Pelodiscus sinensis: one gene and its partners. The protein of the gene in region 1 interacts with the protein of each later gene in a biochemical or structural test. Links are inferred from orthologs where the notes say so. Each region holds a gene or a part of one and is shown in the gene's direction. Other genes may lie near its edges. The genes, in order: RAD51, RAD54B, FBH1 and RAD52.

Region 1 (7,675 bases):
GTGATTAATGCAGGACAGCATTAACACGTTCTGTTTTTAACATGTTAATCGCAGGTGTTAATGCTGCGCTGCCTCTTGGAAGTGCCATTTTGGTGCTTTAAAGGGGCAGCGTATTAGGAGCCAGGGATCAGCTGATCCCAGGCTCTTAATGTGCTGCCCCTTGGAAAGCTGCGGCACTTCCAAGGGGCAGCCTGCATGGAGCTAGGGGTCAGCTGGGGACTCCAGCTGATCATAGAATTATAGGAGTGGAAGGGACCTCGAGAGGTCATCGAGTCCAGCTCCGTCTACACCATCCCTGACAGATGTCTATCTAACCTGTTCTTAAATATCTCCAGAGAAGGAGATTCCACCACCTCCCTTGGCAATTTATTCCAATATTTGACCATCCTGACAGTTAGGAATGATCCTGGGCTCCATGCAGCACTGCCCCGTTGAAATGCCGTGGCGAGGCCATTTCAAAGGGGAGGCGCATGCAATTAGTTGCTCAATTAATCGTGATTAAATGTTTTAATTGCTTGATAGCCCTATAATTAGAAGATCAAGTAGTACTTTCATAGTACCACATATGTGACACTTTACAAATGAGTGAATGCCTCTGCCTTGAGATATTTGAGCTATGTTGGAATGGCATAATGCAAATAAAAGGTAAGAAGTAAAGGGAAGAAGATTGTTCTCTACTTAAGATTCACCCTATTTTCCCCCCTCCCCTGCCCAATTTTATACCACTATTGACTTATGGGGGGGTGGCTCATGAAATACTGACTTTTAAAACCCGAATGTGTGTGTATACATACTGTATCAATCTTAGGCTGTGCTCTCCGGTATTTTACTATTGAATATGTAACAGGCTGTACCCCTTTAAAATCTTCTCAATCCTCTCTATGGATGGCTATTACTGTAGCTCATGTCCACACGCCTGGTAGTTTGCCAGTACTAAAAGACAGATTCAATAAACATCTTAATGGAAAGCATGAAGACTTTGTAGATACTTCTAACAATGCTATCCTGATTAGGCAATACTTTGTCTGGTAGGACAATTTCCCATAAGTGTCTACAGTGACACCATGCCATTACATTTTGTTCTAATAGCTTTCTTGTCCTTGTTGATTAGGAGCAGATGAATGCCATAAAGATCTTGGTCATTCTAAGATATGCACCACTGATATGTAGATATTCCTATTTAACTGCAACCATGCCTTGATATTCTTATTACAGGAAAATTGTTATATAAATCATGAATAAAGTGGCTGTGGCCCCTTACCAGATGTGTCTAACTGAAGGTTCCTTTTAGTTGACTTGTGTGTTAGATCTTTTCAAGTATGCTAAAAGGACAGCAGGGGTGAGATGGGGGGGAAAGCAATCAAATTGGGACAAATTAGAGTGGTATTACTATGATCCTGCATGCCAGGACACAATGTCACTCATTCAAATTTGGCCTAGCCATTCCTCCATGCCAGCAGGCAAAGGGCTGGGCCAGGCTTTATTTTACCCAGGCTCATTGGTTAACCATTCACACAGTTACACTTTCACATTCATATTGGATAGTAGTAGTTACTAGTTATTTGAGAGGTTTCATTTCCTCTGGGAAAATCTTCCACTGTGTACATCCAGTTCAATAGGGTTTAAAGGTTGCCTTTTGTATAGAGAGGAATCGGGAAATCAAGCTGCAGCTATTAATGATGAAGTGCTCTCTTTGTCCTGCTTTGGAGCCAGACCAAGACACTATTTTGATCTCAGTGCGGCATTTGCATATAAGAGGGAAAGCTTCAGTGATTTCATCTAAAGATCTTAGATGAGCTCCCCTCTTAAAAAATCCACCTCCCAGCGACTTCACCCTCCAAGCAGGACAGCAAACTCAGAGACTTGGTCCTTGAGGCTCAGTATCCAAAGTGAAGGGCTCCCTTCAGTACCAGTGAGTCAGGAAAGTACTGCAGCTTTTCTAAGCCTTCTGAGAAGGCTCCAGTACCATCTACCAGAAATGGTCAGCATCAACATAGAAGACTGGTACCATTGAGCTTACCCCTTTTTTTTGGTACCTTATCAGAGAAAAACTGCTGAGAAGTAGGGTAAATGCCTCTTGAGTTGGTGGCTATTCTCCCACAAGACGTAGCAATCCAACAACGACAGTAAACTTTTGTTTTACCACACAAGCTAACAAGTAGTCAGAAAAGCAGCTTCCTCAGTCCTTGTATCACCACTAAACTTAATGAGTGGCTATTTAAACTAGGGCTGTCAATGTGTAGTTGATTACATGACTAACTGATAAGACTAGGCTTATTAATTCTATTGACTACATGTATTTCCCCTCTCTTCTCCTCCCCCCATGCATACACTAGCTCCCTCTGTCAGAAGCAGCAAGGGAGGGGGAGATGAGAGCCAGTGCCTGTGGGAATCCAGCTTTTAAGCTGATTCCACGTGAGCACTAGATCCTATGGAGCCTTCTCCCCTACAGTGTTGCTTCTGCTAGAGAGGCAGCAGTGCAAAATGGCAAGGGGCTGAATCTGCAAAGGTCTCAAGCTCCCCATGGACCCAGGCTGCACTGGCATCCCACAGAGCAGCCTCTGTCCGCAGCAAGCTTGGTCCTGCCTCAACCAGAGGCTGCTCTGCGGCAGCAATACCTGTCTGCGGGAGGCTCAAACTCCCTGAGGACAGAGGCTGCGGCCCCTGCCACCAGGGACTATCAAATAATTGTGTAACTGCTAAATTTAGATATCATCCCTAATTTAAATCCAAACAGATAGGCTTGCCCCCTCCTCAGGTCCATGGCTGCTCCAGCCTGCTCTGCTGACTATCTTCCACAGCTGGGTAGCTATGCTTCACTACAGCAGTGCAGTGGAATGCAGCAGCTGGGGGATGGGGGATGGAGCAGAGGAGGCTCCCACAGCCACCTGAGGGCAGGGGTGGGAAGCAGACCCCTGCTGCTGCCCTGTGCCTTGCCTCCTACACAATCCCCTGGGCCTAGGGTGGCCACTCCAACCTGTCTTATGGATGAGATAGCTCTGGCTACTGGTCCTAATACATGAATTATATTGGCATACAGGGTAACCTGGGCAAGGTAGAAGGGTAGCACCAAGCTCTTGGAAGGGGTGGGGTGTCTCAGGTAGAATGGCACTGCCTGCGGCACTCCTCCCTTCCTTTCTCCTCCCCCCCCATCACTGCTTGTAGTGTGCTGCTTCTGCCTCATTAGGTAGCCCTAAGAGCCACCCAGAGGGCCATGGCAGTGCTCCAGTGGAAATTTTAAATGGCTTGGGGGGGGCTGAACCCCTTTAAATCACCTGGGAGCAACTGCTCCCTTTACATACACTGACACATATGCATCATATTAGTACCATAATCATACTCAGCAAACGATAACTTTTCTATTGACATCTTACTTGATACTTCATATAAGATTTGTTGAAATTATATAACAGTAGTAGCAACAATGATCTACCTGGTCATGTTTCAATCAATATATCACAAAAGACACTTTCTAGTGGCAGTTCATGGAAACTACAGCAGTTTTGACAGCTACCCAATAAATCAATTATTCTTGAATTCACATGATCCCAATTAGTAAATCTGTTCTAATCAAACATGTAGACTTAAAAATTATAAATGCATTAAAAACAGGCTGTTATATTAGAAATGCTGAGATGTGATTGCTGAATTCTACTAACAACTATTAATATCTTCAATGATTATTTGCTATCAAATATAAATAGCATGACATTTCTCTTGAGAATGCCAAAGAAAGGCAAATGCAAAGTGCCAAGTGCAATAAAAATACCATTAAAATAAATAATGTAAAGGCGTGAAATCAAGTCTGGGATGGATTACAAGGGCAAGGCCGTCCTCTTCGGGCAAGCCAAAAAACAATTCACAAATTTGTTAGTTGCTATGAGGCTTTATGCAGACACATGAACTCATAAGTTATTCTTTCAACTGCTACAGCCATGAATGACGACTGTATCATTTGGGGGGAGGGGGGTTGTGTGTGTGTGTGTGTGTGCGCGCGCGCGCGAGAGCGAGCGAGCAATATGTCACTGAAGCGAGTCTTCAGCAGCTCAATACATCCTTAAACCAGGGAAGAGCTGCTCTGGCTAGGCATGGAGGTGCAGCACCACTGCTTAAAACACAGAGCCCTGGATGCTGCGATGCACAGTCTCATCAGGGGCTGTAGGAGCTCTGCTGCAAGCAGGAACTAGGAGTGTGGGGGGCTTCAGCACCTATAGCTGCAGGGCTACACTTTGATTCAATAGCTCTTAGAACCAGCACCCCCGAGTGCAGAGGACTCACCCCAGGTGGGGTCACTGCATCCTCCTGCCCCAGGCTGGAATACATCGCCCTCTGTCCCTAGCTTGGCACAGCTCCTTCCTCTGCCCCTCTTGTGCTTGGCCCCGCCAGACTTCCACCTCTTCGGCCTGCCCTCGCCAGGCCCGGGGAACAGGAGTCAGATGGAATCCCCAGAGACTGGGCAGCAGCTTCAACAGATGTTACTGAGCACGCGCAGCTCTCACGCGCATGCTCAGGAACACCAACTTCCGGGCAGCCCGAAGACAAGGCAGCGCCAGGAAGCGGCGGGGCGACGCGCACGCGTCACGTGACGGACTGGCGGGCTTTTCCGAATCTGCCAGCGGCCGGGGAACGCCAACGGACCGGGGCGAGGAGCCGGCGCCGCGGCGGGGTGAGTGCGGGGCGGCCTCGCCGCCAGGACAGGGGCAGCGCCCCGAGCCCGAGGGGCCTGGGCAGGGCTCGCCCGTCCAGCGCGGTCCGGGCGGTACCGGGGAAGCTGCGCGGCCTCAGGGCCCGGCCCACAGGCCGGTATCACCCCGGGCCGCGCTGGGCGAGCCAGGGCCGCGCTGCCTCCAGTCTCCGCCGCGCTCAGCCTCGCCCGGGCAACCCACTAGCTTCAAAGCTGCGTACGGTCATCCAGGGCTGCGTCTGGGCCCTGCCTGTCCGTTGCTTTTGATGACCCCTCGTTGCTGAACCAAAAATACGAACATTGCACCCGGTCCTGTGCCAGCTCCTGAAAGCGTCACGGGAGACAAGTCAACAAAGGTCTGTGCTCAACACAGAGCCCAACTCAACATGCAGCTAAGTCCTAGGAACTACAAATGGTACTAGGAGAGGAGAGGGCAGATGGGGAATCTTGTCATAGAAATCAGTGATACAGCTGCTTCTGGACTGTCTTGTGCAGTTGCAAACCTTCTGAGAAAAGGGTAATACAGACTTGGAAGGGGTTCAGAAGGTGATCAAAGGTTTGGGGAAAGAATCTCACAAGGGGAGAGATTGTAATTAGACTGGCAGTCATTGCTAATGGATGTCATTGAGGGCAAGAATTTAGCAGGATTAAAAAAAGGGCTTGGAGATCCATATGGGTACATCTGAATGTCCCAAGTTGTCAAACTTTATTATAAACAATTTGGAAGCGATAGTAAAGCTTATGCTTCAGAGACTTAAGACCATCTCCAAATATTAAAGTCCAGGATAAGGCCTGATGGGAACAGATTGCCACATTTTTCTGCAGTGAGATTCTTTCACCTTCTGTGAAGCACCTGTATTAGTCACTCTTGGAGATAGAATACTGCAGTATGTGGTCTTTATCTCTCATCCCATATGTCAGTTATTATGTTCCTTCACATAGATCTCTTTGGTTTCAGAGCCTCCTGGACTTTTAAAAGCAAGGGGTGAAAGTAACTTAGAACTGCACTGGTGAGAAATTTATCACAACCTGTCCTGTGTCCCCCCCCCACCCCCCCGTGGGGGGGGCCTTGAAGCGGTGGGGAGGGTTTGAGATACAACAGTACTTGTAAGAAATTTAAGTGTGGAGTGGAGTGTAGGGATGTGAATGGGAACCTGGTAAGCATCACCATTACTAGGTGATGCTTACCAGGTAATAGTTAACTGGTTCCTCTGGGAGCAGCCCCCCATCCTCAGCCTGCCACAGGCATGGGGGCTGGGAGCCAGCAGAGCCAGAGCCAGCCCCCACCCTAGCATGGGAGCCAGGAGACAGCAGAGCCAGTCCTTTCTCCAGCGCAGGGTCTGGGAGCCAGTAGAGCCAGCCTAGCCTCAGTGTAGGAGCTTGCAGAGACAGAGGGGATGGAGACGTGAGGGCTGGAGTAGTGAGGTATCCTGCTAGTCAGCTAACTGATTAACCATTAGGTTAACCTAACATTTAACTGGTTACCTGAGTAACCTAGATTTTACATCCTTAGTTGGGGGGGTTCAGGGCTTGGGTATACAGGGAGTGCAGGAGTTATGGTGTGGGGATGCAGGAGTCAGCATTGGGTTGTATGAGGGGCTCAGGGCAGGGAACTCTGAATGGGGGATGCAGGAGCCAGGTTTGGTAGGTATGAGGAGGGATCAGGGCAGGGGGTATGAGAGAGGTCTCAGTGCTGAGGGTTATGGTGTGGGAAGTCTGGGCAGGGTGTTAGGATTGGGGCGGGGGCTGCTCAGACTAATGATGTAAAATCCCAATTAATCAGTTAACTGGATTAGATTAACCTAATGTTTAACCAGTTTACCAACTAAAAAGAATCCTGGCCGGTGGACTGCTCCAGTCTGGCTGGAACAGCGTGCTGTCAGCAGCAGGCCTCGGGCTTGGGCTCCTGGGGCCAGAGCAGCCAGTGCTAGGGCTGGTACAAGAACTAGTGGTCTCTTGTAGAAGAGAGGCATGTTTGAGCAGTGGCACCCCTTTTTTGTATTTTCTCTTAGGGGAAGTTGTATCTAATACTTGGTGCAATGGCCATGCAAATGCAATATGAAGCAAATGCAGAGACATCAACTGAGGAAGAAAGCTTTGGTCCACAGCCCATATCAAGGCTAGAGGTATGTAATAAGTAGGGATGTGACAGTCTAAATGCTTAAATGGTTAACTAAGAAGCCCAGGTTCATCGATTAACCTGGCTGACTACATGCAACCCACCTTCTTCCCCCCCATGCTGTGGCCTCTGTATCACAGGCAGCAGCACAGGGTGAGGGCAAGTCTTTGTGGAGAGCTGGCTTTTAAGCAGACTCCCTGTGAGCACTGGGCTCTTAGGGAGCCACCTGCCCCACCATCTTGCTGGCTGTGATGGTGGGGGGATAAGGATGGAGTGAGGGGAGGCAGCTCGGTGGGAGCCAGCTTAAAAGCCTGCTCCCTGTGTGCATAGGCTCCCACAGAGCTGCCTTCCCTCTCAGGTGTAAACGTGCATGTAAAATTTCAGCTGTTATGCGGTTATTAAAAAACCCATTTTTTAACATCCCTAGTAATGAGTGACTAGCTCTGGACCTCTTTGCCAAACAAACCAACAGTCTTTATATTTAACTAGAAGTTGCATTTAAAAGTTGTCACTGACTCTGCCTGTTTGATGTTTGTCAAAGAAGAAAAATCTTATCCAGAAATGTGTATTAAAAATATGAAAGATTAACTTCAGGAATGCATTAATACAAAACACTGTGTTCAGTTACCACTTTGATAATATACTGATACTCCAGGTTTTGTAATAAATGCATTGAAACTTGGGATGTGAATGACTAGTTGACTATCCAATAAGCAAATGCTTGTCAACTAGTCGCTTCCCCCGCTTGCTGCCTCTTCCAAGTGGCAGTGCTGCGTGGAGCCCGGGGTCAGCTGGCGACTCTCCCGCTGACCCTGGGCTCCACAGGGCACTGCTGCTTTGAAACACCATGGGGAACCAAATAAAATTGTACC
Region 2 (7,938 bases), on another chromosome or scaffold:
ACCTTCACAACATTCTCTGACAAGGAGTTCCACAGGCTGACTGTGTGTTGTGTGAAGAAATACTTCCTTGTATTTGTTTTAAACCTGTTATGTATTAATTTCATTTGGTGATTCCTAATTCTTGTGTATGAGGAGTAAATAACTTTTCCTGATCTTCTTTCTCCACACCAGTCATGACACCTCACTTCTCTGGTGCTCCAGCCCTATGAGGCGAGGAGAAAGGACAGAAAAGTCTGAGGTTCAGGGTTTCCGAAAGGCCAGATTTATTTTTCTGGGGTGCCGAATTTAGTGGAGTTTGTGGAGCCCATTAAGCTGGGGTGCGGACAAAAATGAAGGGTTCAGTGTGCAGGGCAGGGCTACTAGTGAGTGGAATAGGGATGAGGGTGCAGGATCTGGGGCGGGAAGTGGGGTTCATGCCCCATTGCAGCAGGAAAAGCCTATGGACAGCACGTCACTGCCTGCCCTTCTCCCAGCGAAGCGGGAAGGGGGAGGGAGCTCAGCTCCCTCCTGGCCAGTGAGTAACTCCTGGGCTCCCCACTCCCATGACTGTCCATTTACCTTGCAAGGGATGTTGGCTCCCAACATCCCCCCATAGCGGAACTCTCACTTCACAGGCTATGAGACAGCCAGGGACTGTGCAACATTGACCCTAGGGCTGATTATACAGGGATCTCTCACTTGGTGAAGAGAAGCAACTGGCCCTGGGGTGAGTTAGGGGAGTTGTTTAGGCAGAGATCCTAAACAGGCAGGGAAAAACTGGCAGGGAAAAACTGTTGGGTGACACTGATCTCAGTTCCCAAATGAGATGCTAAAGGGGTCGATGTTCTGTCCCCAACTGGGAAGGAGAGGTGGGGGGGCTGCGTTCAAGCCAGGGACCACATGGGAGGAGGCTGCAGACCACTTGGGGTCTGCAGACAGCACTTTGAGAACCACTGATATAGAAGCAAAAAGATATTCTCTGTCTATCCCCTTTTTAATTATTCCTAACATTGTTTGCTTTTTTTGACTGCTACTGCACATCTGTGACCGTGCACCTGGGGTGGACCTGATGTCCTGGGTCCCCAGCCCCTCACAGTTATGGGCGTCCCGCCCTCTCATGCCCAGCCGACTAGCTCCTCGGCAGCTGGTGGCGTCAATAATCTTTGACTGTTGTCTCGCTGAGTCTCTCCTCCACACGAGGCAGAGGAGAGAGGGGGGCCTGGGCCCACCCTCACTTGTGGGCCCCAGCCCAGGGCCCTAATGACTTGGACCATGCTGCGGTCCAACTCCGGCTGACGGGGCCACTCTCCTAAACTCGTCAGCCCATGGGCTAAGTTCACCGCCCTGCCCTGGGCTACTTCCTCTCTCCTCCTCCTCCAGTGCAGATCACCCCCCTGCCAAGGCGAGCCCTTCCGGCTCCCATTGCTCCCTGCGGAGCTTCGCCTGGCGCCCCCCACCCTCGCCTGGGTCGGCGTCTCTCGCCAGCCCCGCCTGCCTCAGCGCTCCTTGCATTCCTCCCCTCTCTCTGCCCAGGAGGCTTTTAAATCTCCCGCTGCCCAGGACGTTAGGCCGGATGTCACCCTGACGTCACCAGCGTAGCCCTGACCCCACGCCAACGTGACACGGGGTTGACTCCTCCCCCTTCTCTGCCACCAGGCCCACGCTCCTCAGCAGGGCCGCAGCACCAGTGCATCCGGCGCACGGCCGGTAAGGACTCCCTGGCAGCGCCAACAGGGCATTTACCCCCTGGGGTCCAGTGCGGGCTCTCGGGGCCCCATCACAACATCGAATAGCTGTTTTCAGAGAACTATCCACAATGACTAAGATATTTATTGAATGGTAAATGCTAATTTAGTCCCCACATTTTATATGTATAGTTGGGATGTTTTCCTATATGCATTACTCTGCATATATCAACATTAAAATTCATTTGCCATTTTGTTGCCCAGTCACCTAATTTTTGAGATCCTTTCGAAGCTCTTCACAGTATGCTTTGGATTTAACTATCCTGAGAAGTTTTGTATTACTTGTAAATTTTGTTCCCTCACTGTTTACCCCTATTCCCAGCCAGTTTACGAAAATCTTGAATACGATAGTTCCCAATATAGATCTCTCAGGGACACTACTAGTTACCTCTCTCCTGACTATTTATTCCTACCTTTTAATCAGTTACCAATTCATAAGAGGACCTTCTAAAGGACAGCTTACTTTGCGTAAGAGCCTTTGGTGAGGGACATTGTTATGGGCTTTCTGGAAACCTAAATCTTCTGGATCCCCTTTGTCTACATGCTTGCTGACCCCCTCAAAGAACTGTAGTAGATTAGTGAGGCATGATTTCTCTTTTACAGAAACCATTCTGACTGTTCCCCAACAAATTATATTCATCTGTGTGTTTGACAATTCTGTTCTTTTGTATATTTTCAACCAGTCTCCCAACTACTAAAGTTAGACTTACTGACCCGCAATTGCCAGAATCACCTCTAGAGCACCGTTTAAAAACTTGCATAAGATTAGGTATCCTCCACTAATTTGGTACAGAAGATTATTTAAAGTGTAGGTTACAAACCACACTTAGTAATTCTGCAATTTCACATTTGAATTCTTTCAGAACTCATGGATGAATGCCATATGGTTCTGGTGACTTGTTACTGTTTAGTTTATCAGTTTGTTCAAGAACCTCTTCTAATGACACCTGAATCTGGGACAATTCCTCAGATTTGTCACATAAAAGAATGGCTCAGGTTTGGGAATCTTCGTCACATCCTCAGCTGTGAAGACTGATGCAAATAATTCATTTATTTTCTCCTCAATTAACTTATTGTCTTGAATGGTCCGTTAGCATCTTGATCCTCCAGTGGCACCCATTGGTTGTTTAGCAGGCTTCCTGCTTCTGATGTATTTACAGTTTTTTTGCTACTTTTTGAGTTTTTGGCCAGCTGTTTTTCAAATTCCTTTTTGGCTTCCTAATTATATTTTTACAGTTCATTTGACAGAGCTTATGCTCTTAATTTCCTCACTAGGATTTAACTTTCCACTTTTTAAAACAATGCCTTTTTTATTTCCCACAGCATCTTTTACTTGATTTTTAAGCCAGTGTCACTTCTTTTATTCTCATACAATGTTTTTTTTAATTTGCATTATATATTTAAGTGGAGTATTATGGTGTCTTTGAAGAGTTTCCATGCAGCTTGCAGGGATTTCACTTTTAGTACTTTACCTTTTATTTTCTGTTTAACTAATCTTCTCATTTTTGTGTTGTTCTGATTTCTGAAATTAAATGCCACACTGTTGGACTGCTATAATGTTTATTCTACCACAGGAATGTTAAATTTAATTATATTGCAGGTCACTATTTCCAAGAGGTCCAGTTAGATTCACCTTTTGGACCAGATCCTGTGCTCCACTTAGGACTAAATCAAGAATTGCCTCTACTCTTATGGGTTCCAAAACCAGCTGCTCCAAGAAGCAGTCTTTTAAGTTTCAAGAAACTTTATCTCTGCATCCCATCCTGAGATGATGTGTACGCAGTCATTACATTTTCAACAGAGCATATACTTACCTTTCAATATATATGAAAAAAATACCACTGAAATTTAGAATCTTCCACTGTGCATAAGTATAGAATGCATTTTTTAAAGTTAAACTCATTTTCCAACAACTAGAGTCATACTACTTTTATACACTATAAGATACAACACAAATTTGTGTTATAAGATGTGCATTCAGTAATTCTTCCTGCAGCAATTTACAGATAGGAGAAAAGCTATGCTTTATAATGAAAACTTGAAATTTCATTGATTTCACTAACAATGTTAAACTGCGAACTGCTCCTCTCTGGCAAGACTTGATATCACCAGCTGAACTCTTCCTCTCCCACCTTCACTTTTAACACTTTTCTTACAATTGTGAAAAGGTGAAGGCTAGCAATATTACTGCAATACTTCAGGGTTTGTTTTTTTTATACTGTTGTTCGTTTTAAAACAAGTTTGGAAGCAAGGTGTAATTAGCAACATTTCAATGAACGTTAGTTCCATGCATATAAAATCTGATCATTTTACACACAGAATGTCAACACAAAGGGGAACAAATTCTTATAAGCTACTGCATGGGGGGAAAGCTTATACTTTAAATACAGTTCTTGTAATTTAAATTACTTAACAGGTAAAGTTTTTAGAAGTTAATGTTCTTACAAACCGCATCTGGGTCACTGGGTGAGACACGGATGGATCTGGAGCCGAGGTGCCTGGCCACCAAGGGGAGGAGAGTCAGGGACCTGGATGAACAGAGGCTGCAGGCAGATATGCAGCTCGGGGCCACACCCTGGGTCTTCCCCACCTCCGACGTCTCGCCGACTGACCTCCCCCAGGCCGCTGCCAAGCATCACTGGCGACCCCCTTAGTCACAGGGTCAGGGCCAGCGAAGCCCGCCCCTCGGCCAAGCCACCTTAGCCGGTCCGGGGCCAGTGGGCTCGCGGCCCCCTCAACCCCAACCGCTGGAGAGGGGTCCCACGCAGGGTTAGCCACTCGCGCGTCCCTGTCACCCACTTGCCCGCCCAGCGGGAGATCACGCTCCGCCCCCCCCCAGACCTGCGGCGCTTCACGCTCTACCCCACCCCTCGCTAATTTGGTTGCCAAGCACCGCCGCAACTATCGCAAACAGTAGGCAGTGCATTTTGCGACTGCTATTGCTTGACGACTGTGTGTCACACCAGGAATGACCCTAGTAGGACGGCCATACTGTGCGTGGCAGCTTGCGCAGGCGCAATGCAGCCCCAAGCAAACGTCGAGAGGGAGAGGCAAGTGGGCATGCGCGGACGCAGGACAGCCGGCGGAGGTAGATGGGTGCTTTGACACATGCGCGGTTGAATGACGGTTGATGTCGGGCGGGAAGATGTGCGGAAGTGTGGGAAGGAGGGCGCATGCGTCTAGTGGCAAGTGGCTGACGGGAGCCTGCGGCGGGACAGTTGAGTTGAGCGTCCCGCTCTGTGAGTGGGGCAGGGGAGCTCGGGTGCGCGTGGCAGGGCCAAGCGGCGCAGGCTGTTATCTCCCTCCCGGCCGGGAAGCGCACATGACGTTCCCGCCCGCTGCCCGGGGGCGAGGGCAGTACGGAGCAACCCCGCTCGGTGCTCACACGCTGGCCGGCCGCAAAGGCTCAGTAGCAAGGGGCCCGGCCGTGGCCCCTGTGGGGGGAGGGCACTGGTGGCAAGCTGAGTAGCGGAGCCCTGCTCCTGTCAAGTCTGCCCTGCGGGCAATAGAGCTTTGGGCATCGCGGCGCGTTCCCCCAGCCCCTCAGGAAAGCGACACTTTCAGATTCCGTTTGGGAACTTGTAACCTTGCAGGTGTCTGGAGCAAGCTTAGCGCAAGGCCTAGCACAAGGCAAGGAACAATAGTGTGTACTTAGGACAAGACTGGCAATCGCGCGTTTCCAGTTTTCTTCCAGCCACTTGTACTGCAAAATTAGACAAACTCTGCCTTCTTCTAAAAATAAGATCTACTGTTCTTTGTTACGAGGTAAATGATACACAACCAAATACATGTGTGTGTGTCCAGATACATGTATAAGTAGACCACATACCTACTGGGTGTGGTGTACTGTTCCATGTGGTGACACAGATTAGAGATGTAAATGGTTAACCCACACCCTTAACAGGTGAGGCTTACGAGTTCCAGTTAACTGGTAGGGGCTGGAACAGCTCCCCACTCACTCTGGGAAGGGTTCTGCTCCACTGGGTCCACCACAGGCAGGGGCTGATCTGGCAGCCTGGCCACAGCAGCCCTTGTCCAAGGCAGGCCTGGCCTGGGTGGCACGCCACAAATTTCACACTGGCTCCCTGGGAGTGGGGCTTGCAGCCCTTCCTAGCCCCTCTCCAGGGGTACCTTTGCTGCAGGCTCTGCAGTATAAAGCTTATATATAATAGGGATGTATAAATGTGTAACTGCTAAGTATTTCAGCAGGAGCTGGTGCTCATGGGGAGCCAGCTTTTAAGCTAGCTTGCTGCGAACACTGGCTCCTGTTCCCCTCCCCTCTCATCCACCCAGCTACCTCTGTGTTGGAGGCACAGAGGCTTCTGTTGACCCCCCTGCTACTACCTCTGGGAGGAAGCAGTGTGGGAGAGGGACAGGTGGGTCTGTGGATACTGGCACATGCGGGGAGCTGGCTTAAAAGCTGGCTCCCTGCATATACTGGCTCCTGCCTGCCCCCTCTCCATGCTGCTGCCTCTGTGCTCCACGTGCATTGGCTCCTGCCTCCCTCTCCCCCCATACTCATTGGTTAATCATGTACTAGGATACATGTTCATATCCCTGATACCTTTATCTTGCATAGCCAGCAGCACAAATAACCATTTAATTCAGTGTTTCTCAAAGTGGACTATGGGCTCTGCAGGCCTGGTGCCTTATGGGTCCCATTGGCTCTGGTTCGCTGTTTGCAGCCAAGGAGAGCCCACTTTGAGAGACATTATGTAATTGCTAGGATTTATAGTGGTTACACTATTACATTATTTGACTTTCTACATCTCTCGCTGAGACCACTTACAGAGAGCACAATGAGTCTGCTCTGCAGCCTTTGCTGAGAACCACCTGTTCTCAGCTCTTGCAGAGATCTCAGGTTCAATTCCATCATACAAATGGAAATTAAAGTATTGCACCCGTCTTGAACCTCTAGTATAGGCAAGAAGAAATAGTGCTGCTATCAAAGATCTCAGTCTCAGGCATTGATGAGAAGTGCATTTGTATAGTTGTGATCTATTTCTTTGTGTTCCTAGACAGTCCATACATGTTACTTTTAATTAAACCTTGGTAAAGTTGTGGGATATAAAGTGAAATTTGACAAAATCTCAAGGACTCCTGTGGCACTTTAAAGATTAACAAATGTATTCGGGCATAAGCTTTTGTGGGCCGCTGCTCACTACATCAGATGTATGCAGTGAAAGATTTAGATGGGAGGGATTTATACATACATACAGAGATGAGAGTATTACATCAGTGCTAATTCAATCAGAATGAATGTGGCCCACTTCTAACAGTGATAAGGTGAGACTACCTAAAGGTATTGTAATTTGAGAGAGCCATGGCTAATCATAGAACACTAGAACTGGAAGGGACCTCGAGAGGTCATCGAATCCAGTCCCCTGCCCTCATGGCAGGACCTGTATCATCTAGACCATAATAAGTTTGTTAGTCTTTAAAATGCCACAGGACTTCTTTTGGTTTTTGCTAAAACAGACTAAGAAGGCTACCTCTCTGACAGTTGGCAAAATCTCATTCTCCTGATTCATTGCCATAGAATCTTTTAAATCTGCACTGATCCCGATTACTTTTTTTCAGTGGACTTTGTCTGTCTCTATCAATCTAATATCCATGTACAGTTTGTTTAAAAAAAGGTAATTCTTATTCTGTTCATCCCTAATGTACATCTTGCCCTTGGGAAGTGCATCGACTTCTCAGGTAAAAATAGAAATGTTAATGTGCCCTTGCACTCTCATTTCCATTCAGGCCCCCTACTAGCAGTCTGTGACACCCCCACCCCCGCAGCTCCATATTCCCCACTTTCTGTCTCAGGTCCCCCATATCCCATGCTGCCTCACCTGGCCTTATGGGTGGGATGCTGTGGGTCTAAGACACCCTTTTCTTCCTATCCACAGAGGTTTGCTCCTGCTTGGGAACAGTTGCCCTCGCTTCTGGTGTCACAAAATCCCCTGGTGTTTGAAAGGAATAACTGCAGCACCTCTCTGGCAGAATGTATATTCCCCTGAGGGGAAAAAAAATTCCTGGGATATGAATTTTGCACATACACAGAATTCCCCCAGAAGTAATAGTAAAAGACAATCCTTGCTCAGAGCTTACAATTTAAAGAGATTGTTCCTAAGACAACATAGAGTGTGAAGTATAACCCTTGTAATTTGTAATAAAATTTACTGGTATCATTTTTATTGTTACAAAAAATAGTACATTTTAAGAC
Region 3 (7,565 bases), on another chromosome or scaffold:
AGTGCTTTTGTGGAAAAGCGTCCACGCCAATCTAGACGCTCTGTTCCAAAAATGCTTTTAACGGAAAACTTTTCCGTTAAAAGCATTTCTGGAAAATCATGCCAGTATAGATGTAGCCAGTGTTTAACTGGTTATCTGATTAAGCAGAATTTTGCATCCCTCGTGTGGAGGTGGATACCAATTTTGTATCTGCACAGGGCTCTACAAGTATGCACTGTTGCTTTTGGAGTTCTTACAAATGAAAGATGCTATGGGACTATAAGATATCAATGTAGCTGCATTTATTGTATGAGACAAGTATCGCACGTATTGTGTCAATGTCAACAATCCTTAACTGACTAATGATTTATAATTATAACAATTAGGTCAGTACCTCCTATTCATGCTCTAATGTCAACATTACATATTAGCTGAGAACTCCAGGGTGCCTTATGTGATGGAAATCTTTTCCCTCCACTACTTTGGTGAATAATACAGCTTCAGGCCCTTGCCATATAATTTTACACTGATGCAGCAATTTTCATCTGAGAATATTATTATTTGTATTAGCATATCATTATTTGTATTATCAGGTCCCCATTCTGCTAACCATTGTAACTGTTTTCCACATATCAATTAATTAAGGCTCATTATTAGCTGCCCATGAATTTCTCATTCCCTCTGCCTTTTAGTTTCAGTGCTCATTAGATTTTAAAGGCAAGAAAACCAGCACAATTTTACAGGGGTCATTCAGTGAGTTAGTGGGAGATCTGGATTAGACCTTGACCTATGTGCTAACTCGACAATTCTTCCTCCCAAACACATTTCAAAAACTAGCGAGATCCTACAGTGAATCATAGAATCATAGGACTGGAAGGGACCTCGAGAGGTCATCGAGTCCAGCCCCCCGCCCTCAAGGCAGGACCAAGCTCCGTCTACACCATCCCTGACAGATGTCTATCTAATCTGTTCTTAAATATCTCCAGAGAGGGAGATTCCACCACTTCCCTTGGCAATTTATTCCAATATTTGACCACCCTGACAGTTAGGAATTTTTTCCTAATGTCCAATCTAAACCTCCCTTGCTGCACTTTAAGCCCATTACTCCTTGTCCTGTCCTCAGAAACATGCCTGTGACCTACCAGTCTGCCTTTTTCAAGCAGTCTATCCTTGCACCTTTATCCAATAGATACAACACGCAGTCCCTGTGACCCATGGAAGCTGCTTCATGGAGGGGCCTTTTGTAGTCATTATTAACCATCTCAATGTCCATTTCCAAGGCTTCTACTAAATGGACCAGAATGTTCAGGTGACCGTGCCTGGCTGCATAGTGAAGTACAGTGTCGGCAGATTTCCCATAGTGTTTCCGCCTCACTTCCTTGCTCGTTTCTTCGTCTTTCTGCAACTCCTCTTGGAAAAGGTCTAGCCTGCCTTCTTGAATCAGCCTGAGAAGTTGTTTCTGATTTTCTGCTTCTGCCATGGAGAAATGTGCGGCTCCTAAGACATTCAAAAACAGCAACAAGAAGGTTTGAGACGGGGAGATTTCAGAATAAAATGACTGATGAGATTTTAAACGCTACTTGGAAAATCTATGATAATAAAAACAGCCTTAATATAAAATCCAAAACACGGGTTTCTCCCACCAAATGAATCAAAGCTGTCAAGTGTCTGATATCTGGCATCACAGGGTTAAAATGTTCACAAGAAAACTCAGACGTGTATGCTTGCGAGCCAGTGGATGTGCAGTGTCATAAAAAAGCTTTTAGGAATAAAAATACTTCCCCCTCCCATAACTGAAAACACAGTAAATAAAAAACATCAGTATTGGATCTTATGCATAAAGACAGCAATTATTATTTAATACCCGGATTTTCAACAGTCAGCCATAACATTATCCTGTTACCAAAGGTAAAAAAAAGGTTGTGGGGTCAGCTACACAAAGTGAAAAAGACCCCAGCTACTCATGTGTCACATTAACATGATTAAAAGCTCACATCAGATACACCAGCGTCCACTGAAGGCTGCTGGAGCGGCTGCTGCAGGGGCGTGCAGCACTGAATTCCTTCCCCTAACACTGGCTGTGTTCTTTTGGACAAATAGCGTTTGCCCTGACACTTTATTTTAGGAGCACTGTGCTCGCTGCTTCCAGGCAGGGCTATTGGAACAGAGCTGCTTCCCTATCTCAGATGGATGATTTAAATCTGCCTTAGCAAATGGATCAGATTAGGCAAGTGGGTGGAGATGAAACTGGCAGGGGGCCATATGCACATGTCCCATCTTGGCAGGGGGCCCATATCCATATGTCCCATTTTGGCAGGGGGATCATATCCATATGTCCCATTTTGGCAGGGGGCCATATCTACATGTCTCATTTTGGCAGGAGGACCATATCCATATGTCCCATCTTGGCAGGGGGCCCATATCCATAGGTCCCATCTTGGCAGGGGGACCATATCCATAGGTCCCATCTTGGCAGGGGGCCCATATCCATAGGTCCCATTTTGGCAGGGGGCCCATATCCACAGGTCCCATCTTGGCAGGGGCCCATATCCACAGGTCCCATCTTGGCAGGGGCTTTTTTAAGGCATGTTCTGGTGGTACCGACCCCCCCCCCCCCCCAAGGAGGCATTTATCCCGTCTGCTCTTGCCAGCTAATGAAGTTGCCAAGCGCAAACAGGACAAAGCCTCCTTTTGGGAAAAGAAGGGGGGGGGTATGGGAGAAAGCGGCGTGAAGGGAGGGGCCAGCCCCTTGTAGGGGAGAGGCGGGGGGGGGGGCTGCCGAGTCGCAGCGACTGGCAACAGCACTGGGCGGGGGGGGCAAGGGGGGGGTCCCATTTTCTCTTTGGCACCGGGGCCCGCTGCAGCCCCTAACGCAAGTCCCCGCCCGGCTGGGGCAAGTCCCTCGGCTCATCGCCTCCTGCAGCTGAGAGCGGGGCCCCCGCCTGGGGCGGGCCCACCGAGGGCATCGCCATGGTAACGCTGCCCCCCGCCCGCCTTGACCCCGCCCACACACCGCGGCGTGACGTCACAGCCCGCGGGGGACGCCCGGCGCAGGGGGAGAGTGGACAGCGGGCGGAGGAAGTAAACAAACTCCGGGAACGTTTTCGCTCGTCCCTCGGGGCCGACGTGGCCCCGCCCCTCCCGGAGCCACGGCGGGGCTGGTTGGGCGGCGCCGAGCCTGCGCGCTCTCTGATTGGCGGGCGGCCGAGTCAGTCAGCGGCAGGGGCGGGCTCCCAGGAAGTCCGAGCGGGGTACGTGGGCAGGAGGTCGGAGTCGGGACGCGGCGCTGCCCCCGCAGGCCCCGAACGGCGGCGGGACCAGAGTGAGGCGCCTTGGGGGGCGGGGCCAGGGCCTGTGGGGATCCGCATTGGGGGCGGGGCTAGGGCCTCGGGGCGCATTGGGGGCGGGGCTTCAGTTTAAGGGGGCTCCGTAGTGGGCGGGGCTAGGGTCTGGGATTGCATTGGGGGCGGGGCTAGGGTCTCAGGGCGCATTGGGGGCGGGGCTTGGGCCGGAGGGGGCTCGTATGGGGGGCTCGGGGCGCATTGGGGGCGGGGCTTCAGTTTAAGGGGGCTCCGTAGTGGGCGGAGCTAGGGTCTGGGATTGCATTGGGGGCGGGGCTAGGGTCTCGGGGTGCTTTGGGGGCGGGGCTTGGGCCGGAGGGGGCTCGTATGGGGGGCTCGGGGCGCATTGGGGGCGGGGCTTCAGTTTAAGGGGGCTCCGTAGTGGGGCGGGGCTAGGGCCTGGGATTGCATTGGGGGCGGGGCTAGGGTATCGGGGCACATTGGGGGCGGGGCTAGGCCAGAGGGGGCTCGTATTGGGGGGGGCTTGGGGCGCATTGGGGCGGGGCTAGGGCCTGGGGCGCATTGGGGGCAGGAGCATTCCATGGGGTGGGGGTGTTCACTGGGGTGGGGGCTAGGGGGCTGGGTCGATGGTGGGAGGGGTCTGTATTGAGGGGAAGGGTTGGGCCTGGGGGGCACTGTGGGCGGGGATTGGGGTAGAGGGGTATTACGCATTGGGGACAGGGATCAGGTTCTGCTTTGGGGCCAGGGGTAGGATCTGGGGTGGGTTTGCATTGGGGGCCAGGAATAGGCATGGGCAGGTAAAGGCAGTTAATGCCCTGGGTGGAGTTCCCAAGGTCATGGCCAAAGCAGAAGTAGCCGCTTGATCCTGTTCTCTGGGATATTTAAGATCTTGAACCATTGAAGCAAATAGGTTATGATTTATTGATAATAATGATTAAAGTTGGACTAGTTCCTTTTCCCAATTTGAATTCTGTGTCTACTCTCCTAATAAGAGAGAAATAATTTTTAAGTGGATTTTTTTCAAAGGATCTCATCTTGAAGAGCAAATATTTCCTCTGTAGACATTTGCTTCTGGTATGTTTTGGGACAGCAAAGTGGTGGTTGTATAAGGCATTACATACCCCAGGGGTCTTTGCTAAAGCTCTTAGTGGTGTATGTAATAGTTCTGAGGGGAGGAAGACATGAAAGAAAATGACTTGACCTTTGGATGCTAATTGAAGCCAAAAGCACTTACTCGCTTCATGGATATCCTGGGTATGGTTTCTGGTATGGGATATCATTCTCTGATTAAAAACTGAAGCCAAGTAAGCAGTGTGGCTTGGAGGCTTTTACTGCATCTGGAAGGATTATTGCACATGATCATTAACTCATAATTCTATAGCTGGACATTAAGTTATCTATCCTTGCCAGTCCCTATTATCAAAGTAGATGGTATTGTTGCACATATGCATTTACAGTAGAACATTTAAATATTGCTCGCAAGATTTTCTAGTTAACTGACAACTGTAGAGGTAAGAGCTACACTGCAAATATATCTGAGTAGGGGCCCAGTTACGAGTTTGCAGTTTTGAGTGTAGACTGAAGTTTAACAAGTCTGGAGTAAGGATGTTAAAATGCGGTTAATTGACTAGTTGACAGGCACTTCCGCATTCCTCCTTTGAAATGTACAAGAGCCCCAGCAGTGGCTCTTCTACATTTCAAAGGAGGAATGCGGAACTCCTTGTACAGCCTGGGGCCAGCGGAAATCCCGCTGACTCTGGGGCATGCCTGCTTTGAAATGTGCATTTCAAAGTCATGGAGCCTGTGGTCAGCAGGGGACTCTCAATCCACAGCAGCTGCCCCTTTGAAATGCACGGAGGCAGTGTTTTAAAGGGGCAGCCGCCACACAGCTGATCCACGTATCAGTTGTGCAGCGGCTGCCTTGGGGTTTCATAAAGTCCCCCCTCCTTTGCAGCAGGGGGAGGATGTCGACTAGTTGACTAGTCTTTAACATCCCTAGTCTGGACATGTCCAACGCTTTAGCTTTTTTGTGCAATTGGCTTGAAAACCCATCTACATTAGATTATTTTTTCGATTGTAACCAGATCCCAAAACGTTGCTCAGAGGTGTAGAAAACTCACAGCTCTGAGAAATGGAGTTAAACTGACCTAAACCCAGGTGTGGACACGTCTGTTTCTATTGATCTAGCCACTTCCTGTCCTGGGGGCAAATTTACTACATCACTGGCAAAACTCCTGTCACTACAGTAGCTGTCTGTGCTACAGTGACGTAGCAATTGCTTACTGGAGGATACCCCAAAGTTCTGTACGGTGATGAATGAGACACCAAGAGTGATGTTACTGTGTAAACTTAGTCTGGGACAGTACAGAGTGTCTTGATGTTTTATTTTACTCTACAGAATATCGTCAGGGGTCTGCATATATTTCTGCATAGGCAATTGAAAGAAGGTACATTGGTTCAATGTTGGGATCATCCCATAGAGCTAGGAAACTAATTGGCTGTAGGTGTGTACCAAAGGCACAGCATGTCACTTGAAAACAAACATCAATGTAATTGAATTAACAACCGTGCAATTTGCTTTTCACGTTGGTGACAGTGAAACCATTTAAACAAAAGCGCCTCACCGCCAGCGACTGTGAAGCCTTCAGGCAGAGCAGAGAAGGCTCCTGTTCCCTGACACAGCCTTTCAGTCAAAGACGAGTGAGCAGAGATCTAAACAGAGGCCTCTACCCAACATACAGGACCAAGAGATCACAAGAAGGTAGAGTGTTTCTAAACAGGTTTAAGAGCTGAGAGAGAGAGAAAATGTTAATATCAACTCTGTGCAACAAGTAGAATTTAACCCCAATTTCTATGAGCGGGTACAGAGGGAAGAGCAGCGGGAAAGGGCTAATTGTCCACAAGGAAAGAAGTTGATTGATCCATATTGTAATCACCCATATTGTAGTCTAGTAAAGACCCACTAAATCGAAAGCTGAGGGCCTCCTTTGACCATAGTACTCCTAGTAAGGGAAGTTGATAGAAGCGTTTCTCCCATTGACCTTCTGCTGTGGGGCTGCCCCAGAAAATCAGTGTAAGGTAAGTCGACTCCAGCTATGCTGTTGTCATAGCTGGAACTGCGTATATTACATCAACTTTATCTGCCAGCGTAGGCCTGGCCTCAGCGTCAGGAGTCTTTTCCCCTCCCAAGAAGGGGTGAGTCCTACACCAAGCCTGGGTTAACTCCTGTTTTACCCCAACTTCAAATCCCCCCTGCCTTTCTCTAGCTTTGAAAAGCTGAAGTGCGCACACCAGCCTCGGTAGGCCAGCCTGCTTGCTGCCAATGGGAGCTCTAAGCAATAGATACTGCAGTATCCGCATTTATGGAATAGTGATAGAAATGTAGCCGTGTTAGTCTGGTGTAGCACTTTAAAGACTAACAAGATGGTTTATTAGGTGATGAGCTTTCGTGGGCCAGACCCACTTCCTCAGATCAAATAGTGGAAGAAAATTGTCACAACCATATATACCAAAGGATACAATTTAAAAAAAAGTGAACACATATGAAAAGGACAAATCAAATTTCAGAACAGAAGGGGGATGGGGGGGGGAGAAGGTAAATGTCTGTGAGCTAATGATATTAGAGGTGATAATTGGGGAAGCTATCTTTGTAATTATCTTACCCATTACAAAGATAGCTTCCCCAATTATCACCTCTAATATCATTAGCTCACAGACATTTACCTTCCCCCCCATCCCCCTTCTGTTCTGAAATTTGATTTGTCCTTTTCATATGTGTTCACTTTTTTTTACTTGTATCCTTTGGTATATATGGCGGTGACAATTTTCTTCCACTATTTGATCTGAGGAAGTGGGTCTGGCCCACGAAAGCTCATCACCTAATAAACCATCTTGTTAGTCTTTAAAATGCTACATAGTCCTGTATTTTGTTCCCGCATTTATGGAGACACTCCTGCATATTCATTATTTAATACGCCTTCTTATTTAATTAGATCTCTCGGTGTTTGTTGTCTAATACTCTGTACCAGCTTCCATTCAGGGATTTCAGTGCACTTAATGGCATTAACGAATACATGCTCACAGCCTCTCAGTGAAGAAGGGAACTAATTATTATGCCCATCTTCCACACATGAGGTACAATTTTCACAAACACCCACGTTTCCTTTTCCAAAGTGGCTTGGGAGCCTGAAGAGAGGCTAAGTTGCTTTTGAAAGCGAGACTGAGGTTCCTAAGTCACTTTGGCACTTTTAGAAATTTTCCTCGGGAGCTGAGGGGAAGTGAGTG
Region 4 (8,464 bases), on another chromosome or scaffold:
TATCTTAGGTTTAAAAAACTGACCTACTTCAACTATTTTTAATAAGGGGTGTGAGAACATATTTTGAGAACCAAAGGGGTGCAGGCTGCAGTAAGGTTATGAACCACTGCCATAGATGGATGCATTCCTGGTGATGAACTTTGCAAATACTGGGAACCATGGCTACCTGTGGGGAGCTCACCACAGTTCCAGGCATCCACAGAGAACAGGAATGAAAACCAAATGGTATATTAACTTTGATTAAAATAATTCTCTCACTTCTAATCACCAAAATGTACTGGGAAGCTTCAGAACAGAATTTTATCAGGACCACTGTTAGAAGTTTGCAGCAACATGTTCTTCATTCTCATAGCTCACACAGAGTAACAAAAATATTTCCTCAGCAACTATGATGCAGTTGCATGCTCTCTCTCTGAGTGGAAACAGATGGCTCCCTGTAAGCACAGGCTCCCACCTGCCCTCCTTGCAGTGCTGCACAGGGTGGCAGGTGGAAGCCAGTAGGCGTGGGATGTCGGCTTTTGAGCTGGTTCCCCGCACGTACCAGCTCCCGCAGAGACACCTCCGTATCCATGCGCTACTGCCTCTCATGCAAAGAGGTGGCTCCGCACATAAATGTGTAACCACTGAAAATTTCAGCAGTTACATGTTTACCAAAATAAACACATTTTAATATGCCTACTTCCAGGTAACATAACTAGGTAAGTGCGCTGGAGAGCCTTTCTCCAGCGCACTTACCAAGGGTTAGACTCACAGAGTGATTCCCTTCATGTGTGGGAAAGTACAGGATGCGATGCATCACTGGACATCATAAGTGGAGAAGAGAGGATTTGATTTACTGGTTACAGTGGTAGGAAAAAGGAAGCCCATTCACACAGGTAGATAATCCAATACTGGGCAATGTTCCCTCTAATCTTTTCCATCCACTTGTCTTAGAATATGTCTGCATTGCATTCCTCCTTCGAGAGAGGAATGCAAATACAGACAAATGAAATTGCCAATGAAGCACGGATTTGAATTTCCCGTGCTCCATTTGCATAATTGCTGCTGGCCGCTTTTTCGAAATATCTTATTTTGAGATAAAAAACGCTGTTTAGACGCATTTCAAGAAATAACCCTTAAATCTATAAGGAGTAAAGGTTATTTCAAAAGACGGGTTTTTTCTCAAAATAACCACATCTAAACAGCATTTTTTCTCTCAAAATAGGATATTTAGAAAAAGCTGCCAGCCGCGATTATGCAAATGAAGCGTGGGAAATTCAAATCCGTGCTTCATTTGCCATTTCTTTTGTCTGTATTTGCATTCCTCTCTCGAACGAGGAATGCAATGTAGACATACCCTTAGGGAATACATTTTTATCTGTGCACCGAGGCATGTACGAATGTGTACCACTAATAGAAACAAAAACCTAACTGCAGGTGCTCTGCTAATCAACTGGGCAGCTTTTAAATGTTTCTGGAGCGGTTGCACAGCTTACAGGGAGAGCTCATATTGGGTTACTTACAGAAGTAGTCTCCAACCTTTTTATGCCCAAGATCACTCTTTGAATTTAAGAGCAACCCTGCCTGCTCCATCTCCCCTCAACCCTATCCTTCCATGCTCTCTCCAGCTCCCCTTTCTCCTTCACTTTCACTGAACTTGAGCAGGAGGTTGAAGGGGAAGAAGGGATGTGGTGTGCTGGCTCTGACAGCAGGCTCAGGCTTGGGGCTTGGAGTGCAGGAGGAAGTATGGGGGGCTGGCTCTGAGAGGGAGTCTAGGGCTGTGACTAGGGATGCAGGAGGGGGTATGACAGGTATGGGCAATATTTGGTGTGGGGGGCACTTCACAAATTTCCTAAGTGGCCACAGGCCATCCCGGAAGAGGTGGGACCATGGGCAGAAAGATCAGGTTGGTTTGGCTAGATCTACCTTCTGCAAAACCATGCTGCATTTCATTCCAATTACGTTTACCTCTATGTCCTTAACAACTTTCCCTTTCAAAATGTGTTCCAAGATAGTCGTATCCAAACTTCTGAGGGCAATGCATCCCCCAATCCCAGTCTGTGGCCCCAGCCCCTTCCCCTTCTCTAGAGCCAGGGCTGGGAGTGGGGACATAGCTCAGCTGGGAAGGAGGGGAAGGCTGGAGCTGCAGCTTGGGATGGTGCTGGGACTTGCAGTGGGGCAGGAGCAGAGTCAGTGGCAAGGCTGTGACAGGGAACAGCAGTAGGGGCCAGCTCCACTCCTGGCCTACCTCCACCCCCAGCCTTGTCCCCAGACAAGGAACAGAACCATGACCTGAAGCTCAATTTGGGGGTGGGACCAGAGCAGAGCAGGAGGCGGTGAGAGGCCAGGTAGCATGCCATCCCTATCTCCCTTTGAGGGTTGGCGTGACCCCGCCATATCACCACCAAACATTCCTCTGCACCGCAGTGTAGGGCCCTTTTAAGACCTTGAATATAACTGAGATCAAACTAAAGAGCCTGTAGTTTCCCAGATCAATTTTTATTTTACGCCCTCTTAAAAATAGGTACCATATTTGCAACTTCATTACAGGGAGATGACTGAGAAACCCAGGAAGCTGAGTAGCAAATACTGCTGCCTCCACTACTCCAGATCCTGCATGGAGCATATCAAAAATAACTTTTGAAGAGATGTTTTTCCCTAGGGCTGCTCCAGTCTGAGGTGGGAAGCAGATACACAACTGCAACTGGCCTAGAGCATGTCGAGGCGGAGGGTAAGGGGCCAGGACCGACTTGGGGCTGCAGCCAGCCCTCCAGACGAGAGGGAAGGAGTGACAGAGCATTTTAGGGCTCCATCCATTGGGAAAGAGAAGGGAGCAGAAGGAGTGGAGTTCGGACTTGCTTCCCCAAAGGGGGCTCCATGATTAAGATTTACAAGTTAGTAGCCATGTGGACACCAACCATGTTTTTAACCAGTTATGCCACTACCCAATCATTGGTGAAGTAAGAGCCTAATAAAAGTTTACAGCATGACCAGAGACACAGCTACTACTTATCTGCGTAAAAACGTAAAGCATTCTGTAACAGCAGTTCTCCAACATAAACAGGGCCTGTTAGGGTGCATCTAGACAGCTCCCTTTTGCTGGAATAAGCTATGCAATTTGTAGTACACAAATTGCATAACTTATTCCGAGTGTAAATTGAAAGAACTTATTTTGAAATTTGGTGCTGTCTACACAGCGCCAAATTTCAAAATGGCGTACTATTCTGACAAATCCCTTAACTCTCATGGAGCAAGGGTTACAGGGACACCAGAATAGCGCACCCACTACTTCAGGAAATAGCAGGCGCTTTTAAAGACGTGGCAATGCTATTTCGAGATACTTCTGGTATCCAGAAAGAGCAATGCAGTCTAGTTGCACCCTCAGTAACATATATATTTGACTTGGTTACAGCTAAACTTGTTTCAATAAACTTTGGTCAGCCAACATACAAAAGATCCAATCATATTAAGTGGCATTCAAGAACCATGCTCTCTCTCATATCCTTGGGCAGTGCTGTCACTAAAGGTGTACTGTTTCACACAGCTCCACAATTACAAATAATCCCAGATTAGCCAAAAGTGGCTGTGTTTAGTGCAAGTTATATTTATAATGACCACTATTATATTGCTAGCCATATTAGTATAATTAACTTGGTTATTAAAGACTCCAAAAAGTAACTAGCACCATCTCATCTAACCCTACCCAGAAATAAACTGAATGACAAATTGATAATACCATTATGGGGAGTCAGCTTCAAAGAATGAATTTGACAGCATATTTCTACACTTATGACTCAACCACAAATATCAAAGGGAAGGTTTGCAAAATAATCTAGGACCAAATATGACATTTTACAACACTGATAATTCTGCTTATTTTACCATCCTCCTTATTTTGTTTCCCTACTGCTTTGTCTTTGGTGACTCCTTCTGTTCTCTTTCTCTATCTCTGCACAAGCTACCTTAAAGCCACTCCCAAATTTCGCCTAAAACCTTCAAGCTTTACTCCTACACCATTCCCCACTGCCTATAATTAAATGATCCATGATACAATTAGCTGATGGCATGTACTGTTTTATAATTGGCCTTTAGATTAAATACCATAGTTAGAGTGATATGGAGAACAGGAAAATTCACTTTTCCCACAGCTATTGTTTCAGGATGTCTGAGGATTCTAGGAACAAGCTCACTTTTCATTTGGGAGGTTAATTTAGAACCACCACAAATTAAAAACTCAATTTAGTAATAAACCTTTAGATTCAGCATGGTTTGGATAAAATACCTAAGGCAAAGGGGTATCTGACATCCATACCATAGATAACATGATTGCCCCATTTGAGAATAAAGGTGTTTTTTTTTTACATTAGACATTACATGCAGTTAATAACAGCCAATATTGAGGTTGGTGAGGAGACGAGGACACAGAGAAGAGCTACTTGGTTGGACACAAAAATACGACTCAATATATTTTTATTACATCCACAAGCCCTGAGCAATGTCACCAGAGGAGACACAGACCCCCTTGTGTCTGTGTGTCGGGAGAAAACAGGCACGTTGCCACGATGGGATCCCCGGCTTTTCCTTTCCTCGGGCTGTCCCGCAGGGGGCGGGGGCTATGTGAGGACAGAAGGAAGCACCCCGGCCAGACACGGTGCGGACAGGAGATGCGGGGCGCCGGCACAGCTGCCCCAGGCCCCGCGCCTCCCCCAGCATCAGAGAGGAGACTGGGCCAAGCAGAGACCGCTCCCTCCCAGCCACCTCCGCCCCCGCCCCGAGCGCCCCTGCTCTCCCAGCCTGCAGCCAAGCCACCCACCCGCGGAGTAGGGGGTGGGGGGAGAAAGGGAGGGGTCGCGGCGGGTTCCGGGCGAGACCCACCTGAGCTGGCGACGGCGGCGGATCCCTCAGTACCAGGCCGCCCCCCGGCTCCAGCCGCGCAGCCCGGCCGCATCCTGCCCCCCTCAGCCGCAGCCAGCGGCCCCCGGCCCCGCCCAGGCTCCCCCCACCCCCTCGGGTCTTGGGGCCCCGTCTCTCACCTGCCGCCCGCCCGGTGGCTCCGGCTGCTGCCTGTCAACGACGGGGAGGGGAGCGAGGGGGGGGGCAGCACCAGGCAGGCTCGACTCCTCCCCACCCGCTTCTCCCTCACGCTCGGCTCGCTCCCGCGCCCCCAGCTCCAGCCGCTACGAAGTCCCGCCTCCGGCGCGAGCCCAGCAAGCCCCGCCTGCCCCGCCCCCTACGCTGCGCGCCGCAGCAAAGCTCCGCCCCCCGCGCGGGCCTCTCCGCCTGAATCATCGGCGCCGCGCGGGCGAGAGCCCTTCGGAAGCAGTTGCGTCTCCTGACCGCTAGCCCGCTCCTTTCGGACCTTGCGTGCGCGCGCCCCGAAGTGGCCGCGGAAGACGGCGGCACGAGCGCGACGTCGTCCCCGGCGCGTCTGGTGTGGGCGGGAATTTTGTCTTTTCCCGCTTGCCGTAACCTGCCCGCGTTGTCGATAGGGTAGAGCTGCCGCTGGAGAAAGGAACCCAGCTCCCCCCCCCTCCCCCACTCACGTACAGGTAATGAGTGAACCAGTGGCGCGGGGGGAGGGGTCGTCCCCCCCCCTCCGCCCACACCCCTGTGCTGACGGGCTCCTGTGGGCAGCGCCGCACTCCCAACGCGCCGCGGCGGGCGGGTTCTAGACGCGGCTGCTCCCCTCCCCCCACCCCACCCCACGGGGCCGGAGAGTGACGCGGCGCCACCTCCCTCCGGAGCCGGCCGAGCGCGCGGGGGTCGCGGGGTTGAAACGGCGCTACCGGGGCATCGCGGCGGGTAACGGCAACGGCTTCCCGCGCGCGGCGCTGACCAAGGAGCGGGACAGTCCGGCTGCAGGTGACGCAGCGGGAGGGGAAGGAAGGGTGCGACCGGGGGGGGTCCCCTGCCCCCCCCCCAGTGTAAAGCCGTCGCCCCCCGGTCCCGAACAACGAGCTGGCGACATGAGACGCCTTCGCTGTAGGTCGGTCAGATCGACGGCGAGAGGAGGAGGAGCAGGGGCGTGTCCCACAGCCCGTCCCCTTAAGAGCCCGGCAAGCGGTAGCCGCAATAGACGTGGGATCCTCCTGCTTCTTTCTTAGAAGGGGGGTGAAGTAGCTGGTGCTGTGGGCATTTATAGGGCCGCTGAGGGGGATAAAGTAATTCACACCTCTCGGCGATACTGCTACAGGCTGATGAGGATGTGTCTGCATTGGGTCGTGTCATGTGTGACCATTAAAATAGAAACGGCGGGGGTGGGGGGTTGGAAGGGGCCAGTACACTTCACTTCTGTGTCCCAGCCCAACACAAGTGTTGTCTAATACAGTTTTTGTCATCCTTTTTTTTTTATAAAGTACCCCTTTGAAAAAAAAAAAACTCCCTTTAAATATATATATATATATGTGCCCCCAGTACGTACAGTTTTCAGACACACACAGGCTACGTCTAGATTGGCATGGTTTTCTGGAAACGGAAAAGTTTTCCGTTAAAAGCATTTTCGGAAAAGAGCGTCTAGATTGGCACAGACGCTTTTCCGCAAAAGCACTTTTTGCGGAAAAGCGTCTGTGGCCAATCTAGACGCGCTTTTCCGCAAAAAAGCCCCAATCGCCATTTTAGCGATCGGGGCTTTTTTGCGCAAAACAAATCTCAGCTGTCTACACTGGCCATTTTGCGCAAAAGGGACTTTTGCCCGAACAGGAGCAGCATAGTATTTCCGCAAAAAGCACTGATTTCTTACAGTCGGAAGTCAGTGCTTTTGCGGAAATTCAAGCGGCCAGTGTAGACAGCTGATACGTTTTTCCGGAAAAGCGGCTGATTTTCTGGAAAAACTGGCCAGTCTAGACACAGCCACAATGTTTTTCTACCATTGCAACACATTTGTTCAAACAACTTAATGGTAGCTGGGTAGGCGATGAAATTTTTGAGTGTAAAAAGTACAAAAATAATAAAGCCTTGTAAAACTTAAAACAAAAATTCAGTTTTGATGAATCCTTTTCCCCCTTCCTCCCTCCTAGACTTCTCTCAAGTATCCCTAAGGGTACTCATACCGCTGGTTGAGAATCACTGGTCTAATATACAGAATACTTTACAACACAGGCTCAGGTCTAGTTTACGCTACAGACATCTACAGTATTGGTAGAACTGCATCACTCAGAGGTGTGGAAAAAGCTACTCACATGAGTAATAATAATTTAACTGACATAACACAACCACCCTCCTGCCAATATAATCCTCTCCAGGCAAATTAAGTTTATGGAGCCCTAAGCCTCTATGCCTCCCCCATTATGGGGCTTTCTGTGGCCCACAATCGATTTTTTTTGTGGGGACAGAGTTCTGCGACTGGGGGCAGAGGAGAGGGAACAGGGAGCTGGGAGGGCAGAGGACAGGGTTCTGCAGTAGGGGACAGGATGCCAGTGGGGACAGAGTTCGGGGAGAGGGGACGGGAATGGGGACAGAGTTCAGGGAGTGGGGACAGAGTTCTGTAGCTGGGGACAGGGTGCCAGTGGTAGCAGAGTCACCTGTATCTGCCTCCTCCCAGGATTCTCTCTCCCTCCCTCCTCCCCCCGCCCCCCTGCAGGAAGCCAGCACATGCCTGCCCCGGGGCTAACCCCCGCCTCCCGCAGCGGGGGCAAACCCCCGTGGGAGCCTGCCTCGGGGGCAACCCCCCCATTCCGCGGCCCGGGCGAAACCCCCATTCCGCGGCCCGGGCCAAACCCCCATTCCGCGGCCCAGCCCCTCCCCTCCCGCAGCGTGGCCAACCCCTGTGGGCACCTGCCCCAGGGCCAAACCCCCCTCCCACGGCGCAGCGCAGCCAACCCCCTCCTGCAGCATGGCCAACCCCCGCGGGCGCCTGCTCCGGGGTCAAACCCCCCTTCTCCGAAGCGGCCTGGCCCAGCCAACTCCCTCCCCTCCCGCAGCGTGGCCAAACCCCGGGGCCAACTCCTGCTCCCGCGCCGCAGGGAAACCCCTGTGCCCAACTCACCCCTCCTGCGGCGCAGGGAAGCCTTCGCACTCCTCCTCTAGGGCCAACGCCCCCTTCCCCAGCACACAACAGAACTGTGGGAGGGGGAAGTGACACGGGCTTCAGAGAGGACTTCCGTCCACCCCGCGGGAAGCCGGCACTACACTAGAGATAGGTAGTGGGGCTTCTCGGGGATGGGAGGAAAATGGGGGGCGGGGTTGCCCGAACGCCTCGCGATCAACTGGTCGAGGCCTCACGATCGACCAGTCGATCGCGATCAACGGGTTGGTAACCACAGCTCTACGGATAGGGGCTGCTGCCACTCTGCGCTGTTGCCTATGCATCAGGCATCAGCATGGGGCAGCAAGCAGCCCGTCAATGCAGGGAGCTCATTTTTTAAACTGGCTTCCCTCGCAGACTGGCTCCCCCCTGCCATCCCTGCTGGCTCTGATAGCGAAGCAGCAGTGCGGGATAGCAAGGGGCTCCCCAGGAATGCATGACTGCCAGCTCCCCGTTCTCCGC

Evidence for each region.
Region 2: the proteins of RAD51 (region 1) and RAD54B form a complex in vitro, tested with the Homo sapiens proteins (2 studies listed by BioGRID). The link is inferred for Pelodiscus sinensis from reciprocal best matches to the Homo sapiens genes RAD51 and RAD54B.
Region 3: the proteins of RAD51 (region 1) and FBH1 form a complex in vitro, tested with the Homo sapiens proteins (2 studies listed by BioGRID, with this or other methods). The link is inferred for Pelodiscus sinensis from reciprocal best matches to the Homo sapiens genes RAD51 and FBH1.
Region 4: the proteins of RAD51 (region 1) and RAD52 form a complex in vitro, tested with the Homo sapiens proteins (6 studies listed by BioGRID). The link is inferred for Pelodiscus sinensis from reciprocal best matches to the Homo sapiens genes RAD51 and RAD52.

Annotation. Positions count from the first base shown.
Region 1 is NC_134714.1:63,240,025-63,247,699, forward strand, and holds the start of RAD51 (DNA repair protein RAD51 homolog 1), read left to right. Parts: upstream 1-4,524; 5' UTR 4,525-4,666; intron 4,667-4,822; exon of another isoform or gene 4,823-5,040; intron 5,041-5,642; exon of another isoform or gene 5,643-5,694; intron 5,695-6,696; 5' UTR 6,697-6,723; coding exon 6,724-6,810; intron 6,811-7,675.
Region 2 is NC_134712.1:40,512,302-40,520,239, forward strand, and holds the start of RAD54B (DNA repair and recombination protein RAD54B), read left to right. Parts: upstream 1-4,718; 5' UTR 4,719-4,812; intron 4,813-4,823; exon of another isoform or gene 4,824-4,963; intron 4,964-4,969; exon of another isoform or gene 4,970-5,489; intron 5,490-7,938. Other genes in the region: RING finger protein 151-like, read right to left, coding at 4,170-4,178. UniProt on the Homo sapiens protein: Involved in DNA repair and mitotic recombination. May play an active role in recombination processes in concert with other members of the RAD52 epistasis group.
Region 3 is NC_134711.1:3,369,351-3,376,915, forward strand, and holds the start of FBH1 (F-box DNA helicase 1), read left to right. Parts: upstream 1-4,380; 5' UTR 4,381-4,522; coding exon 4,523-4,535; intron 4,536-5,877; coding exon 5,878-6,042; intron 6,043-7,565. Other genes in the region: ANKRD16 (ankyrin repeat domain-containing protein 16), read right to left, coding at 1,122-1,476, 1,844-1,871. UniProt on the Homo sapiens protein: 3'-5' DNA helicase and substrate-recognition component of the SCF(FBH1) E3 ubiquitin ligase complex that plays a key role in response to stalled/damaged replication forks.
Region 4 is NC_134711.1:108,172,252-108,180,715, reverse strand, and holds the start of RAD52 (DNA repair protein RAD52 homolog), read left to right. Parts: upstream 1-5,261; 5' UTR 5,262-5,528; intron 5,529-5,609; exon of another isoform or gene 5,610-5,841; intron 5,842-8,464. UniProt on the Homo sapiens protein: Involved in double-stranded break repair. Plays a central role in genetic recombination and DNA repair by promoting the annealing of complementary single-stranded DNA and by stimulation of the RAD51 recombinase.